Linked DNA regions of Oreochromis niloticus. The protein of the gene in region 2 purifies or fractionates together with the protein of the main gene of each other region. This does not show direct contact. Links are inferred from orthologs where the notes say so. Each region holds a gene or a part of one and is shown on either strand. Other genes may lie near its edges.

Region 1 (8,063 bases), on a different chromosome or scaffold from region 2:
CATCAAACCGGGAAATGGGGACAGTGACACCCCCAGCTATACACACACAGACACACACTAGAGACACACAAGCCCTCACCCTCATTCTGTTGATTAATTCAGCTGATAAAGACTGGCTGGCTCCAGAGACGCCGCTGTCTGTCTGTTTCTCCCTGTGCTGCGATTCACAATAGATAGACGAACACACAAACAAACTCCCTCCCCCCCTTTAGCCACACACACACACACACACACACACACACACACAGGCTGCCCCCGGTGATGTGCCAGTCAGTCAGTCTATAGCTGGTGTCTCAACTTTGTACTGCCTTGCCCTGGCTGTCAGCCATGCTGGAAATGGCTAGCCAGTCAGCCAGGCGTGCCACTCCACTGCTATCATAAATCACAACATAACATGGAGCCATTTCCTACACACACACACACGCACTGGAGAGGCACAGACAACACAAACATTCATAAATGCAATATAGCCTTTTAGATGGAAATGTTATGCAAAAACAAATGCGCTTCTGGCAATAACATGAATGCATGTATTTATGCATGAACAGCAAGCTCACCTGGTGGTTTAAGATAGTCCATGGGATAGCGGGAATATGGTGGAGGAGGAGACTCTGTATGGAGAAAAAAAATGAGTACATGAGGAAAAAAAAGGGGGAAAACAAGGGAGAGATCGAAACTTTATGATAAGATTTGTCATTTTTCAGGGGAAAAAGATTTGTGTCTGTCAGCTCCGCCTGGAGAGGCAGGCTGAGAGGCCGGCTGGGCGGCTATTGCCTTTCATTGGCAGGCAGATAAACAGGGGGGGGCCGCCTGGCGCCAGAAGGGCCACTATCAGCGTCTAGGACAAACTGAGATACGGGCCTCTTTTGGCCCGGGACGCCAAGCAAACGCGCGCACTCAGGCGAGCGAGCGAGCGCGTGCACGCACATACACACAGAGACCCTGGAAAAACTTCACTGTGGAAAGACTGGAAGACTGTAAAGCCCTGTGCACTTTGGAAATGCCATCTATGAAAGGTTTAAATAGCAGAAAGGCTTTGTTGTTGTTTGGAAAGCGCATATTTGAAGTGCCAAAAAAACATAAAATAAAGCATGTTTGGATACACGTTACCGTTTTTACAACACGGCCAATCAATCAATTATTATTTTAGTCAAATGACATGCCAAACTCGGATTTAATGACGCCACACTTCCGAAAAGATGGGAAGGTGGAGGGGGGTTTGGGGGGTGGGGGGTCTCAGCACGCTAGTTTGACCTTATGGAAACTCAACACAACTGTGCCAACAGAAGTGATGTCATTTGAATTAGGCTAATTAGCTCTTTAGGTAATTGAACTTGAACTTGCTCTGAAATAAGGCCAGAGAATGCCAGAGAATTCAAAATACTTGCTGCCAATAAACAGATAAATAAATAAATAGATAATGTCTATTTTCATAAAAATCCAACTCACCGAGTTCACAGAGCCTGCTCATGTGGTGGGGATTGCAGCAAATGAGCTCTGGGTTGATTTTCCCGTAGGATTCACAGCAAGACAGCCTCTTCAACTCCGAGGAATGCCTGAGGTCCGGCCACCTGAACACTTTGTAGAGCAGCATGGGGAGAGAGTAAGACTGTTGACCCACTTTGGCGTCCACTTTGCTGGGCAGGAGCAAACAGGGGCTGCGGGCACCCCCTTTGGACTCCACTGCCTGCAAAAGCACCTCCAATTGTTTCTCTTTGATCTTTTTCAGTATCGAGTGGGTCAACGCCTTCAATTCAGCCTCCGACCCTGCGTTGGACTTGGCCACCTTTGTCGTTTTGCCCAAGCAGCAGCCCCCGGAGCCATGCGTCCCTCTATCCGTTTCCCCGTCGCCCTCCACGGGCGCACGGCTCCTCCAGAGTCGCCGGACGAGCCCCGATCGTTTGGTCCTAAACATGCGGGACGAAAAGAGGGTTTCCCGGCTAAAAAACGAGCATTGTGTCCGCAAATCATGAAGATTCCGGGATCCGAGTCCAGGCGGTGATAAGCAGCCTGAGAAAAGACGGTGGAAAAACTGGGGTCTGGACAAGCAGAGGAAATCTGTAGCATACGCCAGTCTCTTTCGCCGTCTCCTGCACCCCAGATCACCAAAAAGAAAGAAAAAAGCAGGCAGGGTTCACGGGACAGTTAACTTTTCCTCCGGGGATAAGTCACCATCACCATCGGGAATTTAAGACTTGTGTCTGATGACGAAAACCTAGCAGAATGTGATCGTTAATAGCGAATGGGGGAGCAACCCTGCTGCGCGGAGCCTAGATGTGTTACAATTTTCACTTGGTGATGTGCAACCCAGAGCAGTGAGCTGACCCCTTAAAAATACTCCAGGCAGATTTTTCAGCAAATAAACACTGCTTTTAAAAAAAGAAAAGCAAAGAAAAAGAACGAAAAAAAGCTTTCTGCCAGTGCGCAGTAGCTTTAATGGAAATTACAGAACGTGGGGCCTAATTAAGCCTAAAATGCTATGGCAATTATCCCATGAAAACCGAAGCTCGCTGCCGTGTCTTCAGGAGCATTAATCCACAAAAATCCGTGATCCAAACTGCACAGAGTGCGGTTCTCCACCGGGCATGCGGAGGCTTTTTTTTATTTATTTATTTGTTTATCCGCTATCGTCCAAATATGCCAATCGTCTGCAGAGGATGTGGTCTGCCCGAGTTGAGATGAGCCAAGGAGCAAAAATCCAGGTCTGAATCTCTCACCCAAGTTGAGTTGCGTTTCTAAAGCCCGGAGAGAGAGAGAGAGAGAGAGAGAGAGAGAGAACACTCGTCCAGCCGCCGAGCCTTTCGACCTGTTTCAGCACACAGGCGAACCTTTTTCTTTTTCTTGTCTGAGCGTTAAAATAATCCCAAGCTCGTATCTCACGCGAAGTTTCCGTGGAAGAGAGAGCGAGCCGCCGACTGCGATCTCGAGGGGGAGTATGAGGCTCTCTGTAAATGAGGCGGATGGTTTGGGTGCCCTTGCTCCGTCTCCAGTCTCCAGTGCGCATTGACGCGCCCGGTCACGTGTGTGTCTAGACACCCTGTCGCTTAAAAGAAATGTGATTGTGTGTTGCGCAAACAACAGATCAAGCAGAGCCTGCGGCGCACACACACACACACACACACACACACACACACACACGAAAACCTTTGAAAGGAGGAAAGTTTGGGGGCAAAAAGTTGCCAGAAGGGTAAAGTTGAAAATAAAAGGGCAGTTGAGAAACTGTGAGATGATATAAAGTCTTACAAGAAATTTCTCTCGTCACTGTTTAATGCTGAATAATTGGCAGAGCGATAATGACGTAAATTTGGCCCCTTTGTGTCATATAAAAGTTTTTTCTAAGTTTACTTGATGATTGTAAACTCAAATGTTCTTTTCAAGCTCCAACAACGTCTAATAGCTCTGTTATCTCAGCTTTACTAACACTGGCTTCGTATTAAAGCAGCTCTGTTGCTGATGTGTGAGTGTGTGTCATTTAAGCTAGAAACACTCTGATTTCCACCTTTTTTCTCGTAATATAACATTTGCGCATTTGTCATCATGATTACTCAGGATGGTTTGGCTTGGGAGGGGGCTGCGTAGGATGGTCTCAAGGGCGACACTTCAACCACTCACCGGATATGTCGGGTCGTAGATGAAGCTGGTTCAGATTAGGGATTTTTTTAACGTATAAAAAATGTGCCTGCAAGACTTAACACAGGGAGGGAGAGAGAGAGCGAGAGAGCGAGAGCGGCCACTGTGTCCCAAAGCCAGACGGGAGCGCGCTGCTGCCGCCCTCTGGACGTTTGGTTTCCAGGTGGGACGAGCATCACCAGTTTTCTGCCTTTTAATCATCAACACGGCGGTTTCCACCCTCTTTTATTCATCCAGCGCTCTTGCCCATCACTTTCCCGACTTGCCTGACAACAGATGGGATGTGCCCACATGACTGCTGTCTTTATTATCGGCCGAATCCATATTTATTATGACAGGCGCAGCGGTTTGATTCTTACCGTTTCGATCTGTTTTGCCGTATTGTGTGTCGCTGAAGAGGCAAAACACAAACAACGTCATTTAAGTGTGACAGCTTATTTCTCTATATGGGCACACATAAATGATCTGTTCTCTCAATAAACTCATTTTTATTCAAATAAATAAATAAATGATTCACACTTTGAACCCAAAGTGTCCGAGGCCCTCAGATAGGATCTCCTAGCATCTACCAAACCCTTTGCAACGTGCGCATGAATAATATGCGTGTGTCTGTGTTTGTGTGTGTGTTACCTACATGGCTTCATGGGTTTACCTCCACAGACACAAGTCCAGAGGAGGAGGTGACAGGGGTGCTCCGGGGGCAGATGGGATGGGTGTCTGATAATGATGATTGCAGAGATGTGCGGGGCTGGGTAGGGGGGTGGGGGCAGAGGTGTGCATGGGGGTCGACGGATGGGGGTCGGGCTACCCGCATTGTCCCAGGATCACCCACTGGCGCCGAGCAGGAGGAGACTCAACAGCCCAAACAACGCAGGGGACTGCGCCTCTTTTTTTTTCTTTTTTTGAAGAAGTCTGGAAGCAATCAGTCAGGGGAAAGGGTCTGTCAGAGGTATTGTGGAAGTCGCTGCAGACGCACGCTGTCCCCTCCCCTCTCCCCCTCTCTCCCTCTCCACTTCTCCCTGCCCTTCCTTTTGTGTGTGTGACTGACTATTCCCCAGACTCCAGGAAGTAGCCAATTTTATCTAACCAGTTTCCATTTCAGTCTGGCGAGGAATGTCTGCAATAAGGTGCAGGACTAGGACTCATTAATATATATATTTTTTCCTCCCTGCCTGATAACGTTTTCATGTATTTTTAAACCACACCTGATAATAACTGAAGTAAATACTGAATGGTGCATTCACATGCTTGGTGGAGTCCTGTAATTTGGTGTTGCGAACACTATATTTGTGGAACCTGTCCCCCACACCTCTCCAAACTAACACGTCAAGGTCTTTTATTGGATTTTTGACAGTATGACAGTACAGCCATTAAAACGACATGCACTCACTGGACTCTGTACATATCGATAGAACCACTTTGGACTTCTTTTTGCTTTCAGAACTGTTTTAATTCTTCGTACAACAGATTCAACAAGATGCTGGCAATATTCCTCTGGGAGCTTGGTTAATACTGACATAATAGCATCACACAGTTGCTGCAGACTTGTTGGCTGCACATCCACAATGTGAATCTCCCATGCCACCACATCCCAAGGCTGCTCTATCGGATTGAGATCTGGTGTTTGTGGAGGCCATCTGAGTACAGTGAACTCACTGACATGTTCAACAAACCAGTGTAAGGTGATTTGTACAGTGAGTCCATGAGAACTGTAGCCTCAGTTTCCTGTTCTTGGTCTACAGGAGTGGCAGCTGGTGTGGTCTTCTGCTGCTGTAACCCATCTGCTTCAAAATTTGAAGCTCTAGCTTTTAGCGCAGCAGTCCCATCCACCTGGTGCTTAAACCCTTTGTTTGCAAGGGGCAGCCAATCAGAAGAAAGCTGGCTAAAAGAGAAAGGAATTGCTCATTTCAGAAAGTGGATGACCCAAGGGGGCTGTACCATCATCCAGTATAAAATGAATTATTACTCTGAACTGTGCAAAAGCTACTCCAGCAGGGTCCAAAAATAAAAATGGAGCTGGAAGTGCTTTCTGGTTGACAACTGGAGTGTGGTTCTAATGTTCTCACATCCTAAGGCTACATACAGCAGGCTTAGTTTCATGTTTCCCCGCCTGTTCACAGTCTTTGTGCTGAGCTAGCTTCCAGCTTCAGCCTTATGTATTCATAAGGCATATATACAGCAGTCTTGCTCATCTAAGTCTCAACAAAAAGTGAATAAATGTATTTCTAAAAGCTGCTGAGCTGTTGCTTTAAGAGCCTTGTTAAGCTCAATCAAGTGACCCTGCAGAGGTGATTCAAATGAGGGCGTGCAGTTGGCTAAAACAGCATTACACAGCAAGAGGGATGATTAATATTCTAGACAGCAGCCCAAGCCTTTACTATAATTTATTGACACAGTGACTGGTTTCAGACGAGTGGGGGTCACACATATGCAATTAAACAGGCTTATTATGTGTGAATGAGAATGTTAAGAATAGGGTGAAGACTGCATGCAGGCAGGCAGCCAGTCACTGGGGAGATAAGAATGATAGAAATAAGGCAACTTTAATTAAATAGATAAGAGAAAACTTTAAAAATTCACAACTTGCACATCCGATGTCACAACAGGAAGGATGGAAAACACCCACACTGGTAAATGACGCAGCCTGTTTAAAAAAAAAATAAACAAATCATGCTGTGAAAAAGCATAAAAAAGGAGGAAAAAAACCTATTCATCGTGTGTTGAGAAAAATGTACAATTATCAGCATCTCCAGTGGGGTTTGCTCTATAATGAATGAGAGAAAGCTTCAGTCTTGTGCTCAGACATGCGGTATGACCCACATTTTATCCCAGAATGCTAATGTTAGCTACAGACCTACCAACCTGCCCCAGACTCCTTTTAGCCAACTGAATGTTCAAAGAGTGAGTTACTCTCCTACGCTAAAAATGTCAAAGTCTAATGCAACAGCCTGGCGATAAATTTTACCTTCATGAAGGTCGTGATCTTCAGTTTTAGCTGAAATGATTAAGAAAAGTATTACTCCAAATATTGATAATATCGATACCAGCGCTGGTATCAGTATCGGATCGATACTAGCACGATAGGATCGATACTTTCTATCCTCAAAATTCTGTATGTAGCCCACTGAATAGTGTTAAATAAATTCTTATTCTTTTGGAAATGAAAAAAAATATAACACAAACATGAACTATGAAAAATGTACCTTTTTGTCGCCTGCCAGGTCTAGTAGATTTACAGCCTATATTTAAACAACAGAAGCTGACAAAGCGCTTTAGAGACTAGAGATTTTAATTCTTGATCTACAAAACATTTAGTTTCAAAATACATGAAAGTATGAAAGTGTGTTTTATTATAAAATGTGGAATGTAAACATCAAATCGTGTAGTGTTCGAGTGTTCATGTGTGTTCAGAATTTGCAAATCAATAATGATTCATCTCAAAAATCATGACACACTGCTCTCCCCTATATAAGCTAACTTTATAGGTTAAAAGTGTTGGTATCAGTATTGGTAATTCTGGCCCTGTATTTACTTGGTATAGGATAAACTGCTAAGTTAATGCTGGGTAAAACCTGAGGACTGGGGTGTAAGTTCAGAACTTCATCTTTAGCCGACAGTTGCTCAGTATGTAGCTCGTGCCCTGCAGCCAGTGGTCAGTCAATACAAAGAAACCCCTCAATTCAATATTAATAACTTTTAATCAATCCAGACTTTTAAGTTGGATCAAAGTGAGCCTGACACGTTGAGATGCAACAATGTTATTTTACACCCAATTACACGTGCAAAGTGCACTGAAGCTCAAAGAGTTATTATAGATGTTATATAAGATTCAAGTTTTCATATGAGAAGCATTTTGTCTTGTCCAAGGGGCTTTTGTCTTTTCAGTATGAGATGAACTAATCTGTAAGGTGTTGTTTGATAAACCTCTCACAGAGAGCATCTACTTTCAGATTTCTTTAGTCTGGTTTGGGTTAAGGGATTACATCTTTGTCATGTTAAAGCTGGAGGCCTCAGTGACCTAGTTCTCTTTAAAGGCCACTGGCGTGAAACTGCATGCATTTAACTGTCCTACATGGACGAGTGCCCAGGCTCAATTGTGATACTGATGTCAGTCATTTTTTTTGTCCCTTTAAGCAATTGCGTGATGTTTGTGGACGAATGTTTGTGTGGGATGAGTCCTTCACAGGAGCTACACGGTATCGCTCACTTAACTCCACTTATGCTTAATTCATAGCACCACAACTGTGTCTGCTTGCAGAGATATTTACCTACAGAGGGCCTGAAGAGAGGGGCTTTCAACCAATGAAAATCTTCCCATGCAGAATTCCAACTGCTTGTTCCTCGATGTGTATGATGTTGTGAGTTGGTTGAATGCAGACTGGCAAACTAATGAGAAGAGAGCAACGGTGGAGCAAAACGGGAAAAAACAAAAC
Region 2 (7,564 bases):
GATTCCAACATAGAGGCAAGTTTGGCTGAGTTGTTCCAGCAGAAGCCTTTGACTGTAAGATGTTTGTCCAATTGTTATCATGGCTGAGCTTAGCTTTGACAGAAGTTTAGGCACCCAAAAAGAAACTGTGACACCAACCTGGCAAAAATAATCATGATGCAACTCTTATCTCCTTTTCATCAAATTCCTGCAAGACTGAAAGCAAACTCCTAAGTTTAATGTGCTAGAAAAAGTTTAACAAAATGGATAACAAAGCACACTAAGCTCTGCTGCGCTGGTCTCTACTCATCTGGAGTCCTGATACTTCACAGTCAGAGTGAAGTGCCTAAATTAGCAGCACCTCGTGGAAACAGCTGAGGGGTCCCAGCCTATTTATTTCACCCCTGAGCCCCTCCAACACACAGACACTGACGCTACTAAACTGCAAAAGTCCTTCACACACAGCTTAGATTCTCTCAGCACCACAACCCTCCCCTACTCAAGGCTCTTGGTGGGCTAGTACACCTCAGCGCACCACCCATCTGTCTGTGAGCTCAGTCAACGTCCAACTCACCACCAAGCTCTGACACAGTTTCTCAAATCAAAGCCGAGCCAAAACCATTTAGGCCACCCACGCCGCTTCTCCTATACTGGTTTGCCTCTCCTCACACTCCTTTGAAAAGCTTTCGCGCTGCTTCTCTCAGTGTGACCTCAGCTGGCATTCCTCCGCTTGGAAAACAAGGACGCAGGAGCTCTCCACCATTGTTGGCAATCAAACCACAAGTGGAAAGCGGAAGGAGCCACAGTGTCATACCAATGACTACAATCCTACAGTTCCCCCCAGCATACCCCCCACCCTCAAGTTGACAATATAGAAACAATAGGGTAAAAAGAAGAAGAAAACCTCCTTCATGTTGTGTCTCGCAGATCGCTCCATGTAGCTTTTCAGTCATCCAGAACGTTGCCTGAAAATAGAAACCTTGCAGCTACCCGATACGCCGCATGACATACATGGCAAAAGAGGAGGGTCAATGTAGGGGGGGAGACGAGAGACAGACTGATAGATATGGAGAGGGAAGAGGAAGTGCTTCCAGCAGCCATGATGCCATGACTAGCGAGATTTTAAGAGTTGCTTTGATAGCAAAAGTGCCATCACACAGTATTCAACTGTAATCACAAACATATAGGAATTCTTCATTTTTTTTACTCCAGCAAACCTCACATACTCTTATGCTAATATGGAAATAGATAAGCACACATACTGCGTTTCATTCATAAAAGAAATGAATGAAAGGCAGCTTTATTTTTTTTTTAAATTTCTTTGTGATAAGTAAACACCCAGTCTTTCACTATTATTTCTGAGATTCTGTGTAGTGTACACAGAGTAAATCTGTGTAAATCTACCTGACCAACCAAATTATATCAAAAATGAATGTAATGGTTAACTATTCTTTGCAGTTCTTTTTGTTAAATATCTGTCATCATAGAGCCTTTCACTATCACTGTTCAGCAACAGTGACCCAAGTTCAAGTTTCCTTTTCCAAAAGTGCTGCGTGTCTCATTTTCTCAAACAGCCTTATTAGCACAATGTTCTCCCTTTTACCCCAACACAAGTCACACTGCACATTAAATCTACTGATTCTGTATCTGAGAAAACCATCTGAACTGGCAGCAGAACAACATGTAAAAAAATCCATTCATAATCTTATGCTAATAACTGAACCCTTACCTTGCGAGCGATTGGCTCCTGACCCTCTGTGAGTCCATACCAGCTGACGAGCTTATTCCAGCCTTCTGTTGGGACCAGAATGTAGTCCAGCTCATCAATGAGGTGTTCCTTGATGGCGAGCACATCCCCATCTAGAGGGAGGGATGGTCATTCACATGCAGTTAAACAAGAGAAAGCACGTTCTCTTGTGCACATTCTGTGGGTCAACACTTACACTATTGATAACACACAAAGAACAAGGTGAGCTGGAGAGCTTTCTATGACCCCACTCTAAAGAAAGGCTACTCTCTGGTTAGTAGACAATGTTTTTTGTGTGCGTGTATGTCACTTGTCCATAAAGCTAACCTACCAAAAACTGCTTTCCCATACATTTATCATATACTTTTAGAAGGGATAAAATAGAGATCTAAAGAGATGGACTATTACTGGACTTACCTTTGAGAAGACCAGAGTTATCAACCGGTCCTGGGTAGACATTCTGGTCTCCCATCTGGTATTTGTCCCAGCTGTCAAATCCCACATATTTCTTCCACTGTTTGAACCAGTGACTGTCCACTAGGTACCTGCAGAGAAAGCAATCAAGATTACAACATCTCTACTAAAAGCAAGATGTGAAAGTCAAGAGTTAAATAAAAGGGGTGGTGGGTTGCATTAAAGTATTGGGCTATAAACCAGGTTACCTTGGGGCTACCTTGCAGTGAGTACCCGAAACAAATCTGGTTTTGGGAGGCATACATTACACAGACTGACAGTTGTAACAGTAGCTTTTAGCCGCCGTGTTGAGTTCAAATTGCTACAAGCCTAGCCAGCTGGCTCTGTGATTTTGACAGGTGTTTTTTTCCGACTCCGCCCTGCTGAAGTCGGCGGATGAACCCACTGACAGGCAAACCGCTTGGATCATCGGCAAGCTAGCCAATTAGCTGATAGCCTGATAACTATCTGTATCACTCAAACGGCATGTAGCCTTACACATCCACAGAAAATATGTGACACCGTTTTTTGGAAGTGAAGGATATAAACACCAAAATACAACATTTAAATTTAGTTTAACTGTTTTGAGTCTTAGCGTGAGCTCAACCAGCGCTAGCCTGCCAAGCTGACACATGAAGCTGACAGGCAGCCGTTAGCTAGCTCGGAGCTCACTGTCAACACGGCCCGGCCGTCTGGATTTCACATCCTCCGTGGGGTTGACAGCCTCAGCAGACCCAGCCCAGAGCCACGCAGTGCCCTTGAAAAGATCACAGTCAATTCTTACCAAGTGTCTCCCTTTCTTAGTTGTGTTTTCAACAGTGTCGCGACCTCTCCTCTTTGGGTATCCAGATCAGCCGCTCCTCCTTCCGCCATCTTTCCTTAGACATTCCCCGGTGCATGGTGGGAAAAAAAGCGGCGCGTCATAGAGGCACGTAGAGAGCGACGCCGCTGCTGCAGCCAATCATCACAGGGGAAGCGTGACACCCAGTGGCAAAATTATTCTAGAAAATGTTTCAAAAGTGCTCCATCATTGTGGATGCACGGGTTTACAGCTGAGAAAGAAACTGTGCCTTTAAAAATAAAGACCAGCAATGAGGGGAAACAACACAAGTGACACTTTTTAACACTCCGTGAACACTGTAGAAGAGAAAATCCCAATATAAAGAATCTGAACGTTGAACCATCTATAATATTGCAATTTTGGGAAAAGTACTGTGAAAGCAGAGTTTTATGAACTGCCAGTTACCTCACACTATAACATATCCTACACCTGGAAAAGGAAAACAATTAACAAGTGAATGCAGTTCCTGAAGAAAATGTGGTCTGAATGCTGAAAGCTCAATGATTTGAGTTTTCAAAGCTCTAAAGTAGTTGAATATCTTTAAAATGTACATTAGAAAAGCTGACAAATGACAAAAGAAAAATCTGAATGAATATTGAAAGCTCATATTCTTTCAATGTACAATAATAAAAATAATATGATTGTATCCACGTTTGCATATTTGCACATAGCTGTTTTATTTATTTATATATTTTTCATTTTATTATGAATTAATATTGTTTTGCTGGGCTGTGCCATGTTATGTCTGTGTTTAACTGCCATAACAATAATTTCCTGCAAAGGACTATAAAATAAAGTATCTCTCGAGCTATTGATCAATCTACAAACCTACTCCTGCAATAGCTACTCAGGTGTACCTTGATAACACACTCAACATCGTGACACAGTGGTGCACATGTTCACTGAGACTGGGATTTCTACATGACTGCAAGTCAAATAGTTCCACTGTAATAGAAGATTATGAACTTCTGAAATTTTACCTTTGCCAAATACTGCTCATATAATAATAATAATAACTAAGACAGAAACCAGTCAATATTAATAAAGCAATAACAATATATTTTTTTAAAAACTAACTGTAAACAATAATCCAACTCTGGAAAGTAACTGAAACTAAACGGGTACCTTTAATAGCATACTTTATACAAGCTAAGCACTTGCAAAGTCCGCAGATGTTATACTTTATCACTTTATAGAACATGATTTTATGAAGAAAAAAAAACATATCAGTAAAATCCTGATGTGATTTGTTGGTGATTTGTTCTCCATTTTCATAAAATTGGAGACTTTTGATTGTTACGGACTGATTTTCTTTTTTTAAAGTTACATTTGTAGCAGCAGGTGCATGTTCAAAAGACACAGGAAGCCCAGATGCTCCAGTTTTCCACTAGCACTTGAATGCTGCATGCATTTGTGGATTTGTACAAAGTTAAAGTTGAAGAGTCTCAAAACCCAACATGCACATGTGACATGTCCCTTTGTATCAGCCAAATGTATTCATTTGTATTTATTCATTTTCTAATATAAAGATTGTACACAAGTGTGTGGATTGAAACATACCTTTGGTGTTACTCAACTCCATCAAGTTTTGTTAAACCAGACAACAGACACTAAAAACTTATTATATAATTATATAATTGAAAATAGCATAATTTTCAAAATGAACTTCATGTTGTATTTAGCAGTGACTATTGCTCTCTCTTGCTAGCTATGAAAACCAATGCAGCTGTAAGGCACTTTCACAGTGGCTTCACTTTTTCAGCAGTAACTACATCCTACGTTTATATATAGTCTGTGGTTTAAACCTGACAAAGAGTGGTGTTTTGCTGCAGGTTCCAACTTGAATAACATGTTTTAGAGAAATGAACCCAGCAAGCATTTAGGTGAGCTTTGAAGTAGAAGTTTGCACTCCTTTAGTGCTATTGTCACAAGTGTTCACCTACAAGCACCAACCTGTTTTAAATCCAGTTGTATTACAAGCCAGTGTACACAAGGAATGAGGTACTATAGGTGTAAGCCTGAGTAAGATAATAGTGTGTTTAATCCACCAGAGTTTCCATTTAAATAGCAGGTAAACACAGGCGTTACTGATCACATTAGTTAAAGGTCTGTGCCTAAGCAGAAAAGAACAATGGCTGCTGTGAAAAAGACTATGCGACTCTTTTTTCCCCCCCTTAAAGCTTCCATGCTTAACATCCACATCCCCGAATCTGGATTATTTTTTCAGACTTTAGGAAGTTCCCCTCGGAGAGCAAAGAAAAAATGGTTCAGGACAACTTACAAAGTTTATTTTTCAATCCGCACTTACAACAGTAATGTTTCTTTGTACAGTCATTATACGTTACAGTACAAAAAATGAAACTACAGTTTATATACCATATTAGTCCATATCAGTATTCTGCATTTCCAAGTATTTATTCTGCATCCTATTATGTCTACTGTTAAGCATAATCTCATTTTCCCTAAATACAAAAGGAAAACCTCTGCAGTTATTTATCACAACATAACAATATGATACAAATATGACAAAACAGCCATGCAGTGTTGTCAGATACATAAAGGAGCATTAAGAAGTTGCTCTCTAAGTGTTATGGAACATCCAATGATTCAGCTGTTCCTCCCATGACTTTGCTTTTCTTGGGTTACTTATAAACTTTACCGATGGATTCCCAGACTCAAGAACAAGTTTGTCTAAATTACTTTTGTCCCTGAAAAACTCTCCTTTCCACTCTGAAAGTTCTTAATTCAAATGGCAGGCTACTTTTTTAATTTCTTCTGCCCTATTTTATCACTCAAAAATCGTCATGCCACTACTTTCGCCTGAGTCCACCATGTATGTTATGTATTAAAGTCAGTGGATCCCACAGACCACTGAAGCCTCACAAGTTGGAGTCTGCCTCGGAGACCGGGAAGTAGCCATTTGTAGTCTTGGTGGTGTCTACCTCTGGAGCAAAGATAGCCAGTAACCTCTCCTGCTCCCTCTTGGTTTTAGGTAAGTCGTCAGATGGTCTGATGAGCAACTGGATGCGCTGTGAATGAGCAAACAAAGATTAAAATCGGGAGCACACGAGTTGGGCGCATGTTTTCCACTGACAGGATGATCAGCATACCTCTCTGAGTGTCCCCTGGGTGGTGCTGATCTTATACACCATCCACAGTGGGATGCAGACCATGGAGGAGAGAGCAAGCAGCCAGCCGATCACATATCCCCACCACGGGTACACATACTCATTGTTGTACTTCAGAGGAGTGTATTTAATGAGGGAGAATGCAAAGGTGCCCTGCAGAGACAAGGTAACAGGGTACGGCAATTAGTGAGGATCAAAAACCTGCTTTATTTCCTCTTTTTTTTTTTCGCTAATAGAACATTTATTGTCATTTTGGGAACTTTATCTATTTTACTGAGACTCACAATGCATGTGGCAGGGGAGAAGAACAACCAACAGCACTTGATATACGGTCCTGGCCGGTAACCAATCATATCCTCAATGTTATCGTAAAAGCGATCAGCGCCTGGAAAAACACGATTTAGACACATGTCATCGTGGCACAATGTAACTCCCAGCTGGGTGTCTGCTAGTAACTTGGGTGAACACTCAGAATTACTCGTCAAAGCTTGTGCTGTAATCTTACATGCAGTTCTGTTTGCTTACCATAAACCCACGCAATGCAAACTGTCTCAAAGATGGACATGAAGAGAAGACACATGCCACTGGCTGCGTAGTAATCAAAGAGCTGAAAGACATACATGCCCCCCTAGACAGATAGAAACCAAAGAGGTATAATCATTCAAATATAGTTTACAGTTACAGTTTTAGACAGTTTTTTTCTACTCTTGGCTCCGTATGAAGTCACTGAAAGGAGATATCCCTAATATGGTCATCTTAGGCACATAGCTTTTGCTGCACACACCTGCAAACCCCCTTTGTTTTTGTCTTTTTACGAGGGGCAGCCAATCAGAAGAAAGCTGGTTTAAAGGGTTTAAGGTTAGGATGGCTTATTGCAAAACTATTCTAATAAGGTCCAAAAATAAAAACTGAGACCTGGAAATGGGCATAATAGGTCTCCTTTAACTAAAAATGAATGGTAGCTTGAAAACTGTACAGTAAAATATTGTTATTATACTATAATACTGTTATTATACAAAGACCTTGAAACCTTGAAGCCCCAAAGTTGACTATTTCAGCCCTCATCCTAAAATTGGGAGCATTGCATAACAATGCTTGTCACTTACCTGAGAAGGGTCGCACAAAACCATTGACGCGCTTGTACTTACAAACTGAGGACTTGTTGACACCTCTACAGAGCATTCATGCTTCCAGCTGTGCAGAGGTGAAACCACGTCAACTACGTTGGATTCTAGTAAGAGTTTATTTAATCAGAACAAAGCATCCCTCCACCCCAGCAACAGCCCGATTTGTTGAGAGTATGTGTGCGTATGAAGGCAATAGCTTTAACGTCACATGATCAAGCAAACTGCTGCTAAAGGCATTCATTCCTGTTAGGAAACAAGGGATGACACCACAGCTTTTAAAAATGAATGA

The links. Proteins that work in one complex are often made in the same cells at the same time.
Region 1: the proteins of usp15 (region 2) and smad7 purify together in Homo sapiens (affinity purification with western blotting; 3 studies listed by BioGRID). This does not show direct contact. The link is inferred for Oreochromis niloticus from reciprocal best matches to the Homo sapiens genes USP15 and SMAD7.

Annotation. Positions count from the first base shown.
Region 1 is NC_031972.2:18,262,436-18,270,498, reverse strand, and holds the start of smad7 (mothers against decapentaplegic homolog 7), read right to left. Parts: upstream 3,036-8,063; 5' UTR 1,916-3,035; coding exon 1,450-1,915; intron 612-1,449; coding exon 558-611; intron 1-557. UniProt on the Homo sapiens protein: Antagonist of signaling by TGF-beta (transforming growth factor) type 1 receptor superfamily members; has been shown to inhibit TGF-beta (Transforming growth factor) and activin signaling by associating with their receptors thus preventing SMAD2 access.
Region 2 is NC_031981.2:6,282,551-6,290,114, forward strand, and holds the start of usp15 (ubiquitin carboxyl-terminal hydrolase 15), read right to left. Parts: upstream 3,092-7,564; 5' UTR 3,053-3,091; coding exon 2,964-3,052; intron 2,272-2,963; coding exon 2,144-2,271; intron 1,840-2,143; coding exon 1,709-1,839; intron 976-1,708; exon of another isoform or gene 917-975; coding exon of another isoform or gene 884-916; intron 1-883. Other genes in the region: sodium- and chloride-dependent GABA transporter 2, read right to left, coding at 5,900-6,049, 6,131-6,301, 6,433-6,533, 6,674-6,776. UniProt on the Homo sapiens protein: Hydrolase that removes conjugated ubiquitin from target proteins and regulates various pathways such as the TGF-beta receptor signaling, NF-kappa-B and RNF41/NRDP1-PRKN pathways.